2 linked regions of the Tamandua tetradactyla genome follow. The protein of the gene in region 2 binds, or shares a complex with, the protein of the main gene of each other region. Links are inferred from orthologs where the notes say so. Each region holds a gene or a part of one and is shown on either strand. Other genes may lie near its edges.

Region 1 (7,997 bases), on a different chromosome or scaffold from region 2:
AGGCCCTTAAGGGTGGACTCCTGTGGGTCAGGTCAGAGTTCTTATTCCCAGGCTGCGGAAGTAAACTGAGGCATTGAGGAAGGGCAAAAGTCAGGGTTCCCGGGTAGCCCCACTTTCTTCTTGCAGGAATCACAGGAGAGATTCCTCCCTCCCCCGTCCCCCCACATCACCCCAACTGCTGGCCCCCATCTGTTGTCCAGACCGGAAGGGAGTCTCTTCCTGCATGTTTCCTGGAGCAGAGTTTGGAAAGGGGCAGGAAAGGCCTGGCCTGGGAGGAAGAAGTGCAGGGGTGTGGTTTTCAGGTGGGGGAGGGACAGTGAGGGGAAGTGGCCATCCAGAGTCTGCTGCCCAGAGCTGAGGGCCTGTGGGAGTGGCAGAGAGTCTGGGAAGGACACAGGCCTCATTGGGATGGAGAAAGCAACACTGTAAAAAAAAAAAAAAGTTTATTTTAAAGATTACAAAGCTGTGTAACCCCACCAGCTTGGTTTCCACCAATCCAAGGACCTGCAGTAGGGGTAGGAGTGAGAGAAGAGGGTAGAGAAGGGAGGAGAGAGATTTTTGTGGGAGTAGGGGGGAGGGGGAAGATGGCCCCTGAGAAGCTTGTGCCCCCTAGGCCTGGGCCTCACTGTCTTTACTCCGCCATACCACAAGGGTGACCAGGAAGGGGATGAGGCAGATGGGGGCTATTATCATGGCCAGGAGCACATCCTCTGGGGGGTCAGAGAAGGTGGACTGCACCAGGGAGCAGTTGGCAAAGTGAATCTGGTGAGTGTCAAAGATGATCCTCTCGGCCCAGGGATTGGGGAAGCCCAGGCCAAACTCTTCAGCATTCAGCTCCAAGCAATCTCGCAGACTGCTGTAAGGCCTGGGGATGGGAGAGGATTTGAGTGAGGGGTTGGGCCCAGAGAGAGGACTGCCCCACACTCATTCAAGGTACAGCTGTAAGGAGCAGCCCCACCCAGGCCCAAGCCACCGGCCAGCACTGCCCCTACCTGCTAATCATGGCCCAGTCACACCAATCCTTTTGAATAGAGTCCATATAAGCCTTATAATGCTGCCAGCACTGTCGGACATTTGTCTCATATTCCTCCTCCACTGTCTTCCCTGTGGAGGGAAGATACTCCACATTGATCCCATCCCTGCCCCTCCTCCCAAACCGTCTGTCCCAGATACTTCCAGCAAAGAATCCTGTTCCTCTCTTCAGAATCCTGTTCCTCTCTTCAAACACAGGGACCCGCAGGAATGCCTGAGAAGTTTCCCAAGCATGACACTTTTAGCTAAGGAGACAGTCCAGGCCCAGGAATTTAATGCCTTCCATGTGTACCATATTTCCCAATCTAACAAGAGCTGAAGCACACCTATTTTCATGGGGTCTTCTCACCCACCTGTAAGGTGGGCCACCTCAGAGCCGGGCAGGGGCATTGTGGAATAAGAGGGGAAAACACCTCAAGGAATCACAAGAGAGAAAAGAGGAGGGTTTAGTGGGGTACCACTTGAGGTTGAGGCCTGCCAGGAGGGAAAGAGAGCCTTCCTGTTGATCTGGCTCCCCTCCTTGCCCTGCATCCTCCCGTAGTAGCTGGTACTCACCCTCTGAATTCAAGATGCCTGAGGTGGGAAGAGGCTGAGCCAGGGACTCCTGGGGCTTCACAACAACTGTAGGCAGATATAGGAAAGGGAGGTGGGATGGCGGGGACCTGGACAGCGGAGCCTGAAGAATTTGGGTCCGAGCCCCTTAGAGGTCAGGACTACCCTTGGAAGAGAAAAGAAATAATACAGCCCCCCCCCCCCAAAAAAAAACCATAATCCTCAATGCCCAGGAAGGGAGGGGCTGGTACCACTCACATCCAAGTCGCCAGAGCCCTCTCCGCCCTCGTCAGTCCCAGACCTCCCAAGACGTCCCAGCTGGGCCCTGGGCACTTGAGCTTTCCCCAAGTTGGAAGCAGCTCGCGCGGCGCCGCACCAAGTTGGGGCCAGGGAATCCCGAAGGACAGCGCTCGTCCGTACGTGTCTCAGCATCTGCACCGCAGCCTCGGCCGTCCATCCCCGCACGGTTCCCGGGCCCCCCGCATCTCCCGCCCTGGCCCCGGGGCGCTGCGCTCACCGCTCAGCAGGAGTAGGAGGCGGAGCGTTCTCGGCAGCCCGGCGCGGATCGCAGCGCAGCGCGGGACGCCGGTGCGCTCCGCCCGGAGCGAGGTCATCGCGCTGCTGGGAGGCGAAGTGGCGAGTGGCGGCGGCACTGAGCCGGCCCGGGTGGGGCCGCCTATATCCCCTGCCGAAGTGCAGGAAGCCGCTCCGTTTCCTCGGAGGGGCTGGGACGGCTGCAGCCACGTAGGGGGCGGGGGGCGAGCTTGAGGGGGAGTCGCGGCTGCCGCCGGCCGCTGACGCCTGCTGCTCCCTCCGCCTTGGCGGCGCGGGCCTGCCTTTCTTCCAGCTCACCCTGCGGGGCTGGACAGCTCCCCTCGAAACCCCAGAACCGGGATCTGTTTCCTGGGCTCGGCCGAATGGCGCCCAGTACTCTCCGTGGTCTCACTGCATCTGCGTCCCTGATTCCAGTCGCCCCCTTTTCTGGGGGGCACTGTAGCTGAGGTGGGAGTGGGAAAGCTGCTCTCCGGGACCTAAAGAAGCGGGAAAGGGGGGCTGGAAGGCTGGACCCCGCAGGATCCAAGGCAGGGAGTTGAGGCTGTCTTGGGCCGTGGGAGAAGGGGCGCCTGGAGCTGGGCCCTGCAGCTCAGAGTTCCTTTTCCCTGGGAACACCCACTGCTGTTGGCCCTGCCTGCCAAAGCTAGGGCGGAAAAGAGTGAGCTAGCCCTCAGAGTCTGGAGAAGAGGTAGAAGAAAGAGGGGAAACCAAAGTCCAAATGCCTTCCCTTCAAGGCACCGCCTGAGCCCTAGATCCACAAACTGTTGGGGAGGGAGGGGCAAAAGTAAGATGACTGCATTCCCAGGAAGAAGGTAGCTACCACCCTAAAGGTCAAGGCCATGAGAAAGAAGTGGGGTGGCTGTTAGAACCTACAACTTGCAACTTCATTTTTGAGATGGATATATCATAATCCCCATTTTACAGAGAAAGAGGCTGAAGCCCAGAGCAAGGGCACAGGACTTGTCAGAAGGTCTAGATTCTAATCCCTACCATCGCGGTCCCCAGCTGTATAGCCTTGACTTGTTGACCTTCACACACTCAGATCCCTCCCATGTAAAACAGGGACAGCATTACCCTCCTCACCAAACTAGTGAATATGAAATATGCAAAAGGACATTGTACTCAGCGGATGCTAATTTCCTTTTATCCTTTCCTAAGTGACTTGCCCAAGGTCACGCTGCTAGGAGGTAAAAAGGTTGATCCTGGGGCCATAGGGCCCAGCTAAACCACAGCTGCCTCTGGGTCCTGGGCCAGAGCTTCATTAGCCTAAAGCAGCCAAGGAGCCCAGGAGCTGGGACGGCCATGACGTTCAACTCAGACACAGCTGTCAGCACTGAACTTTGCTAAATTATTCCCAGACACTGACCCTTGGACTCAGCAGCTGCTGTTTTCCCAGTTGAGTGATTCTTGCCCACCACAAATTATTTTTCATGGTCTCTCTTTTTTTTTTTTTTTTTTTATTAATTAAAAAAAGAATTAACAAAACAATTAGAAATCATTCCAATCTACATGTACAATCAGTAATTCTTAATAACATCACATAGTTGCATATTCATCATTTCTTAGTACATTTGCATCGATTTAGAAAGAGAAATAAAAAGACAAGAGAATAAGAATTAAAACAATAATAGAAAGAAAAAAAAACAAAAAAAACAAAAACAAAAAACCTATACCTCACATGCAGCTTCATTCAGTGTTTTAACATAATTGCATTACAATTGGGTAGTATTGTGCTGTCCATTTCTGAGTTTTTATATCCAGTCCCGTTGTACAGTCTGTATCCCTTCATCTCCAATTATCCCTTCTCTCTTTTTTTTTTTTTAATTAACGGAAAAAAAGAAATTAACCCAACATTTAGAGATCATACCATTCTACACATGCAATCATTAATTCTTAACATCATCACATAGATGCATGATCATCATTTCTTAGTACATTTGCATTGGTTTAGAAGAACTAGCAACATAACCGAAAAAGATATAGAATGTTAATATAGAGAAAAAAATAAAAGTAATAATAGTAAAATCAAAACAAAACAAAACAAAACAAAAACCTATAGCTCAGATGCAGCTTCATTCAGTGTTTTAACATGATTACTTTACAATTAGGTATTATTGTGCTGTCCATTTTTGAGTTTTTGTATCTAGTCCTGTTGCACAGTCTGTATCCCTTCAGCTTCAATTACCCATTGTCTTACCCTGTTTCTAACTCCTGCTGAACTCTGTTACCAATGACATATTTCAAGTTTATTCTCGAATGTCTGTTCACATCAGTGGGACCATACAGTATTTGTCCTTTAGTTTTTGGCTGGATTCACTCAGCATAATATTCTCTAGGTCCATCCATGTTATTACATGGTTCATAAGTTTATCTTGTCTTAAAGCTGCATAATATTCCATCGTATGTATATACCACAGTTTGTTTAGCCACTCTTCTGTTGATGGAGATTTTGGCTGTTTCCATCTCTTTGCAATTGTAAATAATGCTGCTATAAACATTGGTGTGCAAATTTTCATGGTCTCTTGCTCTTAAAATCTTTATTTCAGGGTCTCAGGCTCTCAAATCGTGGCTATTGACAACCTGTTGTCCTCCTCCACGGCTGGGGTCAGGAGGTGAATTTAGCAAAGCTTCCAGAGGGAGAGGGGAAGTGGCCTGCTTGGTGTTAACCTTTAAGGGTCATCTCCTGCAGTGATGCAGAAGAGTCACCTTTCTTTCAGAGCCACTTTCGACTGGACACCAAATGCTATCTTTTCTCTCAGAATATCCGCGAGTACCCTTTTCAAGAAGAAGCTATGGTTGAGAGGGAGATTCCTGGGTTATAAGATGGGAGGAGGGCACAACAAGGGACAGAAAGCAAATCCAGACTTTTTCACTGGGCTGGGTCCAGAAGCCCCTGAGCCCACTATGGGTTAGGACTAAGGACGGGACAAGACTGAAGTTGTCAAAAGCAAATGCTGGGTTTGAAATAGGGCAATATGGTATAATGGGCTAAAATATCCTAAAATGGTTAGGATTCTGAGGCCAGGTTCTGCCCCTGTCTTACTGTGTAACCTTGGACAGGTCACTTTATATCTCTGGACCTCAACATTTTCACATATAAAATTGCCGTAGAATAAAAAGGGAAATGTAGATGACTCAGTAGGAAGTGTTATGTTTAACTTAGGGTTGGGTTTAAGTTTGTATGGTAATGTAATGACCTACAAAGAAGAGCTTATGTAACCATTCCTGAACTTAGAAGTCCAGATCCTCCCATTGGAGAATCTACTGATTTTCCCCCTTTCCCTATTTAATATCTGGTGGATATTTTCATTGACTGCTGGACATCTTGGTAACTGAGGGTCTGCTATAGGGGCCCCTTAGTGCTTAACAGGAGACTGGAGACTTTACCTTCCTGTTCCAAGTTGCCATAGGAGATAGTCACATGATCTACAGATATGAGACAGGGAAGGGATTTTTCAGGGTCTGAGGCTGTTTTTATCATGGAAAGCCCCCTCTTTCCAGCCATCCTTGGGGGCCTTTAACTTCTCTTTTAGCCCACTTCTGCTTTCGCTATAAAAAAATTTTTTTTCATTACAGGTAAAATATAAGTATGTACTAATTGTAAAATATTTACATAACATAGAAAACTATAACTCCACCCTGTCTCACTTACCTCCCCACATATTTTAGATTAAAAACAACATAAATGGGATTTAATGTACCTATTTGTCAATGACTTTTAAACTTAATAGGTCTTGCATATCTTTCCATGTTACTATACATAAATGTGCCTCTTTCCTTTTAACATAGCATAATATTGTTTTTAGTCTCTTTTTTCTAATATCCAGTGGGCAGATATTTTTTCTTCTATCTGCCCCCCTCCTCCCCGCCAGTGCCTGGGAAGAAAAGGATCAGATTCCGGTCCAGCTGGTCATTGTCTAGCGATTTCCGGACCCAACCTAGATTGATTCCTTCTGGAATTTACTGACATGTAAAAAAATTCCCTTCTTATTATCTGCCAAGGGCTTTCCTGCCTGGAGCAGGGGAGAGGTGATGCAACCACTAAATCCAGAACAACATAGAAGAGAGTAAAAGGCACTGGGGGCCCCCTACACCATGCAAATTATATGCACCCTGAAAGTAGCATCTTTACCATGTAGAGACATTCACACATGCTGGCCTCTGTCCAAACTGTCTGCAAAATGAAGAGTAGAGCGCCAGAGAAGATGTGAGGGAGAGGGTCAGAGAAGCTAGAAGTCCCTCCTGAGAAGAGTCTGATTCTTCAGAGGGATCAAAGGAAGCAGGGAGGACCTGAGAAGCTGCAAGCCAGGGAGGCAGCTGGCTAAAGGAGGGAAAGCAAAGGGGTAGAGACACAACTACTCAATCTCTCCCCAGGTTCCTCAGCTACAGAATGAGATGAACTTGATTACCTCCTAAAGAGAATTGTTATTAAACAAAAATTTGTCCCTGAGTTAGAAAGAAGCAGAGAAAATGTATTCCTCGTCAACCGCTGGGGACTGAATAGTAACTGCCATTTATTGAATGCTCACCTAACTATGTCTTCATAGTGTGTTCTCTGACACATGTGCCAGGTGCTTTGTATGCATTTCTTAAAGCCCTACCCCATAGGATCAGAACTATCCTGTTCATGAGTAAAATGGGGAAACAGGATCAGAGAGTTTAAATGCTTTGCCCAAGGTCCCAGAGCTTATCATTGTCAGAGTCAGGATTTGAATCCAGGACTGCTCAATACTAAGTGTTCTAGTTTGCTAGCTGCCAGAATGCAATATACCAGAAACGGAATGGCTTTTAAAAGGGGGATTTAATAAGTTGCTAGTTTACAGTTCTAAGACTGTGAAATTGTCCGAATCAAAACAAGTCTATAGAAATGTCCAACCTAAGGCATCCAGGCAAAGATACCTTGGTTCAAGAAGACTGATGATGTTCAGCATTTCTTTCTCGGTTGGAAGGGCACATGGCAAACACGATGGTGTATCTGCTAGCTTTCTCTCCAGGCCGCTTACTTTATGAAGCTCCCTGGGAGGTGTTTTCCTTTTTCATCTGTAAAGGTCACTGGCTGGTGGACTCTGTGGTCTCTCGTCCTTCTGTTATCGTTCTGCAGCTCTCTCCTCATTCTCAAAATGAACTCTTTCCAAACTGTCTCCTCTTTTATAGGACTCCCACAAACTAATCTAGACCCACTAGAATGGGTGAAGACACATCTCCATCTACTCAAGTTTAATACCCACAATGGAGTCACACCTCTGTGAAGATAACCTAACCAAGTTTACAACCTGTAGTACTAAATAGGGATTAGAAGAAATCGTTGCTCTCACAAGATTGATTAGGATTAAAACAAGGTTTTTCTAGGGTACACAAATCCTTTCGGACTGGAACATTAAGGTTCAGGCCTTAACTATTATGATATATCATCTCCCTCCCCCCCCACTCCTGCTCAGATGATTGATTCTTACTGGATGTTGAAAGGAGGGGAGGATAAAGAGTGAGAAGATCCTGCTTCACCCAACCAAGTACACTTATTCTCCTTCCCCCTCCTTCCCTGACTCAGGCTGGACCATGACATCATATGGTAGGGGCTGTTTTTCTGAAAAGAACTCTGAATGAATTCATAAGAAGGACGTTCAGACAGCATGACTGAAGAGGACCGTGGCCAAGTGACCACAGAACACACCCAGCAGTGCCGAGAACATGGCTGGTCCCTCGGCACCTGGGGCTGAATCATGGTTGCTGTAAGAGCCCAATGCCCAATGCCAGAATTGTTTTCACCCTCCCCCCAATCCTCAGGAAGGGCTGTGTTCCCTGTGGTTATCCTATGAAACCATCCCCAGGAGCCCTCTTACCCTCTCCCACCATCTTAG
Region 2 (7,696 bases):
ATGCAGAGAAGGCATTTGACAAGATTCAACATCCTTTCCTGTTGAAAACACTTCAAAAGATAGGAATACAAGGGAACTTCCTTAAAATGATAGACCTTTATCTCTTAAAGGGGTGCAAGGGTAGTTCAGTGGTAGAATTCTCACCTACCATGAGAGAAATTCAGGTTTGATTCCCAGTCCATGCACTTCCTCCCTAGCCCCCCTAAAAATTCAACAAATGGTGCTGCAATAACAGGATAGTCTCATGGAGAAAGAATGAAATGTGACCCCCACCACACAGCATGCAAAAAAAGTTCTATTCGGTTTGCCAGTTGTATCTTGAAATACCAATCTTGAATTGATCACCTCAATCAGAAATCATTCCACCCTCCTCTGAATCCCTTTATTTGCACCATTTTAATGACCTTTTTACTCAGCCTGCATTATAGTTTTGGGTTTTTATTTTTATCACAAGTTTTCCATCATCCATACCTATTCCCAGGCCCCACCTGCATGTTCAGTTTCTTGTAATAGGCCCATAACTCATACCGCTCATCCATATATTCCTTGTAGTGCCTTGGCACTTAATACATACATGTGTGTGTTTTCAATTTGCTGAGTGCACTTGAAATAAATCAGAAATAATGAAAAATGACCAGCCTATATGATAACACTTCAAAATTATTCCTTCTATTCTCAATTTCCTGTGGTACTGATATATGAATTGAACACAATTACTCTTTGGGGAACAAGTATATTAGGCACACATCATAGATACTAAATTAAAAAGCAGATACATAAAATCTGTAAGTGATACAATAACTAGTGTAAGATGCAATCATAACCACTAACCCAAATTTTACACAAATCCCACTGATGACAAGAAATTCTTTTTTTCTGTGTTTGGGACAAAGCAGTCAGTTCTTGACTATTGTGGTATTGAATAAGAGTGATGGACTGTTAGATCACATGCTCAATCTTTGCTCTGGAAGAAGTGTATTCTTAATAGCAGCTTAAAGCTTGAAGGAAAAAGTATAGGAAAGTAAAATACCCAAGGCTCTACAAAGAGTGTAATTAAAGAGTCAGTGTATTGGTTTTTTAATGCTGCTGAAAGCAATATACCAAAAATGGGTTGGCTCTTATAAGGGAATTTATTAAGTTGTAATTTTACAGTTCTAAGGTCATAAAAATGTCCAAATTAAGGATTCCAGAGAAAAATACCTTGGCTCAAGAAAGGCTAATGGGTCCAGAACACCTCTGTTAGATGGGAAAGCATGTGGCTGGCATCTGCTGGAGTCTTTGGCTTCTGTTTTCAAATAGCTTCCCCCGGGGCATTTATTTTCTGCATCTCCAAGCATCTGGGTCTTGAGTTGGCTCTGTTCGCTCTCTCTGTCCAAAGTGTTTCCCCTTTTAAAGGACTCCAGTAAACTAACCAAGACACACCTAAATGGGCAGAGTCACAGCTCCATTTAATCAAAAGGTCACATCCACATAACATTTTTAAACTGGCAGAGGTGGCCCTCAACTAACTATAGAGCATGACGATTCACAAATCACAGATTTTATTTGTTCATGTACAATGAGATGATTCTTTATGAGATGTCTCCTTGGCAATATTCATCTGCTCTATTGATGAAACATGCTAACTGAAGTCCACATTGATTTTTCTTATTGTCTCCAGATCCTTTATTTTGGTCCTTATGTACAGAGGTAGCTCTGGAATTCCTTAATAAATGGGCTTAGAAGCAAAAGTGTGGTTGAAAGGAGGGATAACAGAATCTGCAGCTGCATTTGCATAGCAAGCATACTGTTTTTACTTCTATTGTATTCTATTTAGGGCAACTTGAAGGGTTTACACCTATTCTTCTACTTCTCCAGCCTCACTCGCCTACCCCTTCTGCTTAGCCACCTTCTGGCACCACAACTGAGCTAATGAGCAATTGCATATGTGTGACCACCCAGACTTTACACCTCTTGTTTAGCATTCAATCACTATAAAATAGCAGAGGCTCTATTAAGCTAGAATCATCACCTTGTTCAAAAACAAAAGCACTGTGAATTTCATTGTCTAACTAAATGGGTCTATTTAAGAGTTGTATGGTGAATAACTTGCACAATGGTACTTGGTGGCCCTCTGTTAAGCAGTCTCTTACTGGATTTGGAACACATAGGTGGTTCTGGTTTGTTGCCAGAATGTATTATAGATTGTTTTAGTTTGTTAATGTTGCCGGAAATGCAATATACCAGAAATGGGCTGGCTTTTATAAAGGGAATTTATTAAGTTACAATTATACAGTTCTAAGGCCATGAAAATATCCAAACTAAGGCATCCAGAGAAAGGTACCTTGACTCAAGGAAGGCTGATCTGGGAAGTCACTTGGCTTGCATCTGCTGGTCCTTTGGGTTCTCATTTCAAACAGCTTCCCTGGGCAGTGTTTTCTTTCTGCATCTCCAAATGCCTATCTTTGTCAGCTCGAAAGCTTTTCCCAAAATGTTTTCCTCTTAAAGGACTCCACTTAGAGACACATCTCCATGGACACCACCTAATCAAAAGATCCTACCCACAATTAGGTGGGTCACATATCCATGGAAACAACTAAATCAAAAGGATCTCACCAAAAAGAACATGGCTTTTGTGAGGTACACAACACTTTCAAACCAGCACATAAATCTTGGTGACACAGTGCCTAAATTCTGTGACTGGCTTTGTAGCAGGCAGGCCTTGCCCTCTTTCTGGTTTAGCTGTGCTCTCTGTGGAAAATCCCCAAACCCCTCTCCTTGCAGGCAAGTGAGATAAGGCACATTTCCTGGGATAGAAACCCCCTCCCCTAGCCTTCAGAACTGGTGAAGATGCACATAGGCAAGAGAAGACATTCCTGGGGTGGGGGCCCCTCAATGGTTCAGCTCTGGGCCATTCTCAACTTAAATCAGCCAATTGTTTACCTTGTCTTTAACATGTCAAAGAGTCTATAAAAGCTAAGGTTGCCTTTTGTTCGGGGCTCAAACTTTCAGAGGCGACTTGGCTGAGCCCTATGGCCATAGCAAATAAAACCTGCTTCCTGAAACTACGGATCCTTAGTTTCAGCCTGTTCTAACTTCGCTGAACGTTCCTGGAGGCCTGTGGCCTCGTTCCTGGTTTTTGCACTACAGCTTCCTCTAGGTATTGGTCCATCATATTCTCAGATGAATGCATGGGTTTCTTCATGTATGTAGGAATAACTTTATGTGAAGAGCAATCCTTTTACTCTTGCATAGAAGGCAATGTGTGTTGCTCTCCTTCAGAGTGTAATTTCCTTACACAAGGCACCTGATTCACTATCAACTGGTTATTCATAAGACACTACAGTAAAACTGAGTTGTAAGGTGGGGGGGTGGAGTATGGTCTAAAAGGTAAAACAATGAGCCCCAATTCATTTGATGACTTGTGTGCTAGATGCTATTTTAGGTGCTTTTTGAATGCTATTACTATAGTTGAAAATTCATATTTCAAGAGAACACAAAATACCAGCCAAAAGCAATGTCTGTCCTATACCTCATGAGTAAAGTGGATCCGGATATAGACCATCAATTCAATGCAATAATGCATAACTGAATGTGAAATTAAATAAAAGTACAGAGATGGCCATGCAATGGCCTAGACCACTAAGTCATATAGGTAGGATGAGAACTAAAGTGAGCAAGTCTTTTTGTGCTATAGGCTATTTTTACAAACAATTTCTCATCTCCATCCCACCCTTCTAACCAATGATGAGCAACCTGATGGTGCCAGCATACAAAATAACAACCTACATCCTTGTTGAAACTATATGTGACTCCTTTGTAAATATGAGTTATTTGTATTTGTTAGCCACTGTAACACATAAATATACAAATTTCTTTAGTTTAGCACAAAAAAAGCTTTGTTTTTCCTTCCAGCAGCATCCAATTGGAAGGGGGCTCTCCTCCATATAGTCATTGAGGGATCCATATTGATGGATGATTTGTTGTCTTCAAAACGTGTGTTCCAAGATTGTCCTGGACCCTGATATTAGAGGCAGAGAATGGAGAATTGGAGGTTTTTAAGGGTCAGGCCTGAAACTGGTGCACATAAACTCTACTTTAATTCTATTAGACAGTCATGTGGCCTCACTAATTGCTAGGTAGGCTGGGAAATGTAGTCTAAAAGTGTTCCCCATAACCACTTCAAATTCTTTTTATCTTCATCATAGGGGTGTAGAAACTAAAGCTCAGAAATAATAAATACTTTGTCCACAATCACAAAACCAGTAAATATAATTCAAACCCATGGATTCTGACTGTTTCTGGCCGGAATAGTATATTGTTTTTATGTCCTGAAGTCATGGTACCTAGGAAATTTTTTATGAAAAGGGGCAAGGAGGTCAGATCTTGTGTTTGTAAGTGATAGTTGTTCTCTGAATTGGGTCGACATTTGATGATTACCTCATGATTTTGTTAGAATTTAGAGACGTCACACATTGAAGTCAGACAGTATGTGGTCTAGAAACCTCTAAAATAATTTTAATTTTTCTTTCTCATCACTTTAAGTCAAATAGAAACCAAAGAAAAATAAAGACTATGATTAATATGAAAGCTATGTCTATTTAATTGTTATTTTTATTTTTTACAGGAGCACAACAGAGGATCATCTTCAAAAACCAAGATGAGGCTAAAAATTACAAGCCGGTGCATCTTCTTGTTCATCTTTCTAAATGTAAGTAAAACAAAATTATTCAGAGCTATATTAGTTTAGAATGTTGGAATAGGGAAGATTGTTTATGACTGACATGATCTTTTTTCTAGAGGCCAAAACTAAGTTCCTAGAAACCACTGTGTTCTTAATATTTTGTTAAATCAAACTGAATTTCCTCTAATTTAAACTAGTGTTACAGCTTACCCAGAATTTTGAGCTTTGCTTGCTTTATGAAAATTAACATTGATTTGAGGCAACATCTCCATATTACCCATTAATCATGGATATTAACATCATAAATTATAATGCTCTCAGATTACACATATATTAGACATGTCTGTTTGAATCACAGTTTCTGAACTGCTGTCCTACTAAAACATCTCAAACTTTTTTATTCTGATTATTAATTTCAAATGTATTCCTCATCAAAAACTAAGAATCTTCAAGTGTTTACCTACTACTGATTCTATAACTCTTTCTCTAAACTTTAAACTGTGACCAGTTTATTTAATTTTATGTTGTTTTTTCCTAAAGGAGGTAGCAAGTAGTGAGAAGTGCGATTGTCTTAGAAAACATTATCAAAGTCTGCTTATTTCAGTCAGCTCTGTTAAGCCATCATCACATCAGCTTCAATAGCACATGAAAGGGAGATGAGTAAGTTTTACATAAATCAATCTGGAGTTATCTCAAACCTTATCCTTTCTATCACGTAAGAATAAAATTTGCCATTGAATTACAGCTGACAGTAAGGACATTCAGTATTCAGTACCGTTTTATTGACCCAAGCAAAGCTTACCCAGAGTGCCAGAATTTCCATTACTTATTAATGTGCAGTTGCAGGCTTATAAATCGAGCTAAGCTGCTTTTCCTTACATTATTTAAGAAAAAGTATTACTAATATTCATGAGTGTATTTTTTCAAGGCAATTTTTATTTTGTAGTGTTACACATCCAGCAAATGCTTTATAGGAATGATTGTTAATTCAACCATTTTGTAGCTGTTTGGATAATGAGTCTAGTTCATTTTATGATGTCTGACTGTCATATTATTTTAACCTATTAAATATTTCTTTAGATGAATTACAGTATAAGTTGCTAAAATTAGTCCAGTATTTGGAAATGCAGGTAACTTCATGTCACTGGAAATGTAATAAAAACATTTGAACAAGAATATATAAGCTAACAGAATATGTAATTTGTCTGTAAATGCCCAAGGTCTTATGTGGCATTCTATAGAGGTAGATATATTGGTATATTTTATTCATAAAGTGATGTTGTTTTTTTTTTTGTAGCTCAAACAAAATCCTTTCATGTGATTAATTATATGCAAATATTTCTATATACATCTGTTTTATAAAGCATATGCTTTTATTTGACATTGATAGAAGAAAAACTAAAATAACTAGGAAATACTAACAAAATAGTTCAAAAATTATATAATCACCTTCTTTGTTACAAAGACTACAGATAATTTTCGGTGTGTTATTAAGTAGTTGATTTTTATTCAAAGCTTTTATTTGATTTATTTTATAATTCAAAGATTGAAAAACATTTCATGCATTTGCATGACCCATGGAAAGAAATATTTTATGGCTTGTGGGCACCTCCTTTATTAACAAACAAAACTGAACAGGGTATTTATGTTGCTCTGTGCTCTCTTTGCTGTGACAGACAGCAATTTGCTTCTCTGTCTGTATTTGGATTATATATTTGATTTGGAAGATTTGTCCATCAAACAAAATCCACTGCAATGTTTATATGATGTTTAAGTGGAAGAAGGTACACAGGACTCCAACCAGGCAACTCATCATATGTGGAAGAACCAGGGTTGATTCTTTACAAATTTTATTTTGTGCTTCATTATTTTGAAAAATATCACTAACTGAAAATCATAAATAGTTCTGACATGGACATTTTCAGTATTTGGGATAGTGTCATAGAAATCTTGTTGGTTATATCAATTTGCAGATTCTGGATCCACATTTTCGGCAAAGCAGGTCTGCCGGTAGCAATCAGTAGAGCTTTTTTCTTTCAGCACAGCAGCATGGGTCCACACGTTCAAAGGGCTTGAACAATTCCAGAGACGTGCCATTTCTCAAAGTTCCAAACAGAACAACCTGCAACTATTCTGTTTTTTATGCTGCTTCTTCTAGAAACTATATGTAACTGAAAGCCAGGCTAACTGGCTTACACTGAAATAGGAATTCCTGAACCTATGGCCTTTCAACTTCTATTGTTTTCCCTGGCCTCCATGATCAGTGTGGATTAAACCCTCTAGAATGTAAGCTCCATCTGGGCAGGGACTTTGCCGAATCTCCAGAACCTACAACAGTGCCTGGCACATAGGAGGTACTCAAGGTACCTATTGGCCGAAAGGACCAGCGATGTTTCGGATGCTGACTACAGATGTTTGTGGCAGTTTGGCAGTCGTATGTGTGGTGCCATTTACTTGAACCTCTAGGAGTGACATCACATATACGGTGGCTAAACTGCTACATGAGCCAACAAGGAAAGAATTTTCTTTTGAAGAAATGTCTTGTATGTGAAATTTTGAGCACTGATCTTTACTCAGAAAGCAATGTTTCATTTCTATGTTCATGTCAACATAGTATCATTACATCTCCAAACTATATTGTATAAAACTAACACTATAAGTAGAATATTTTTAAGTCTTTCCCATTGGTTGGTAGTTTATTATGTTTCCTCTTTATTGTTGAAAACACACCTCACTAGCAATTTGTAACTGTATATAATCATCAGTCAAAAGTTTAATGCATTTAATGAACTTTATGAAATGTGTATATGCATTGAAATAATAGTAATTCCAATGTGTGTGTTATGTCATTTTAGGGAAAAAATCCTTGAAATATTTATCTACTGTTTGGAAAATTCCATCTTCAGTGCTCAAACATTAACCAGACTAGGAGCAGGCTCAGGTTATTATGATTTATCGAACAAAAGAGGCTCCAATTTCTCATTCCTTCAGTGTGGAAACAATCTCTGGTGAGCTGAGTCCCAATCCTTGTTC

What was found.
Region 1: the proteins of CALCR (region 2) and RAMP2 are in contact, whole or in part, in a cryo-EM structure (PDB 7TYX), measured with the Homo sapiens proteins. The link is inferred for Tamandua tetradactyla from reciprocal best matches to the Homo sapiens genes CALCR and RAMP2. Residues at the interface, in NP_001158210.1 of Homo sapiens: Arg45, Lys46, Met48, Met49, Asp50, Gln52, Tyr53, Lys54, Tyr56, Asp57, Met59, Gln60, Trp76, Gly78, Arg126, Phe235, Leu238, Ile242, Thr246, Val250, Glu255, Lys256, Gln257, Arg258, Trp261, Tyr262, Leu264, Leu265, Phe269, Pro273; in NP_005845.2 of Homo sapiens: Trp86, Tyr93, Ser94, Arg97, Asp98, Glu101, Leu109, Pro112, Glu117, Ile120, Phe121, His124, Phe128, Cys131, Pro136, Phe138, Ser139, Asp140, Pro141, Leu146, Met149, Ile150, Pro153, Ile154, Leu156, Ile157, Leu160, Ile161, Leu163, Val164.

The regions. Positions count from the first base shown.
Region 1 is NC_135332.1:24,492,150-24,500,146, forward strand, and holds RAMP2 (receptor activity-modifying protein 2), read right to left. Parts: upstream 3,176-7,997; 5' UTR 2,199-3,175; coding exon 2,102-2,198; intron 1,654-2,101; coding exon 1,588-1,653; intron 1,105-1,587; coding exon 993-1,104; intron 866-992; coding exon 610-865; 3' UTR 429-609; downstream 1-428. UniProt on the Homo sapiens protein: Accessory protein that interacts with and modulates the function of G-protein coupled receptors including calcitonin gene-related peptide type 1 receptor (CALCRL) and calcitonin receptor (CALCR). Required for the transport of CALCRL to the plasma membrane.
Region 2 is NC_135327.1:122,630,195-122,637,890, forward strand, and holds the start of CALCR (calcitonin receptor), read left to right. Parts: upstream 1-4,639; coding exon 4,640-4,690; intron 4,691-7,696. UniProt on the Homo sapiens protein: G protein-coupled receptor activated by ligand peptides amylin (IAPP), calcitonin (CT/CALCA) and calcitonin gene-related peptide type 1 (CGRP1/CALCA).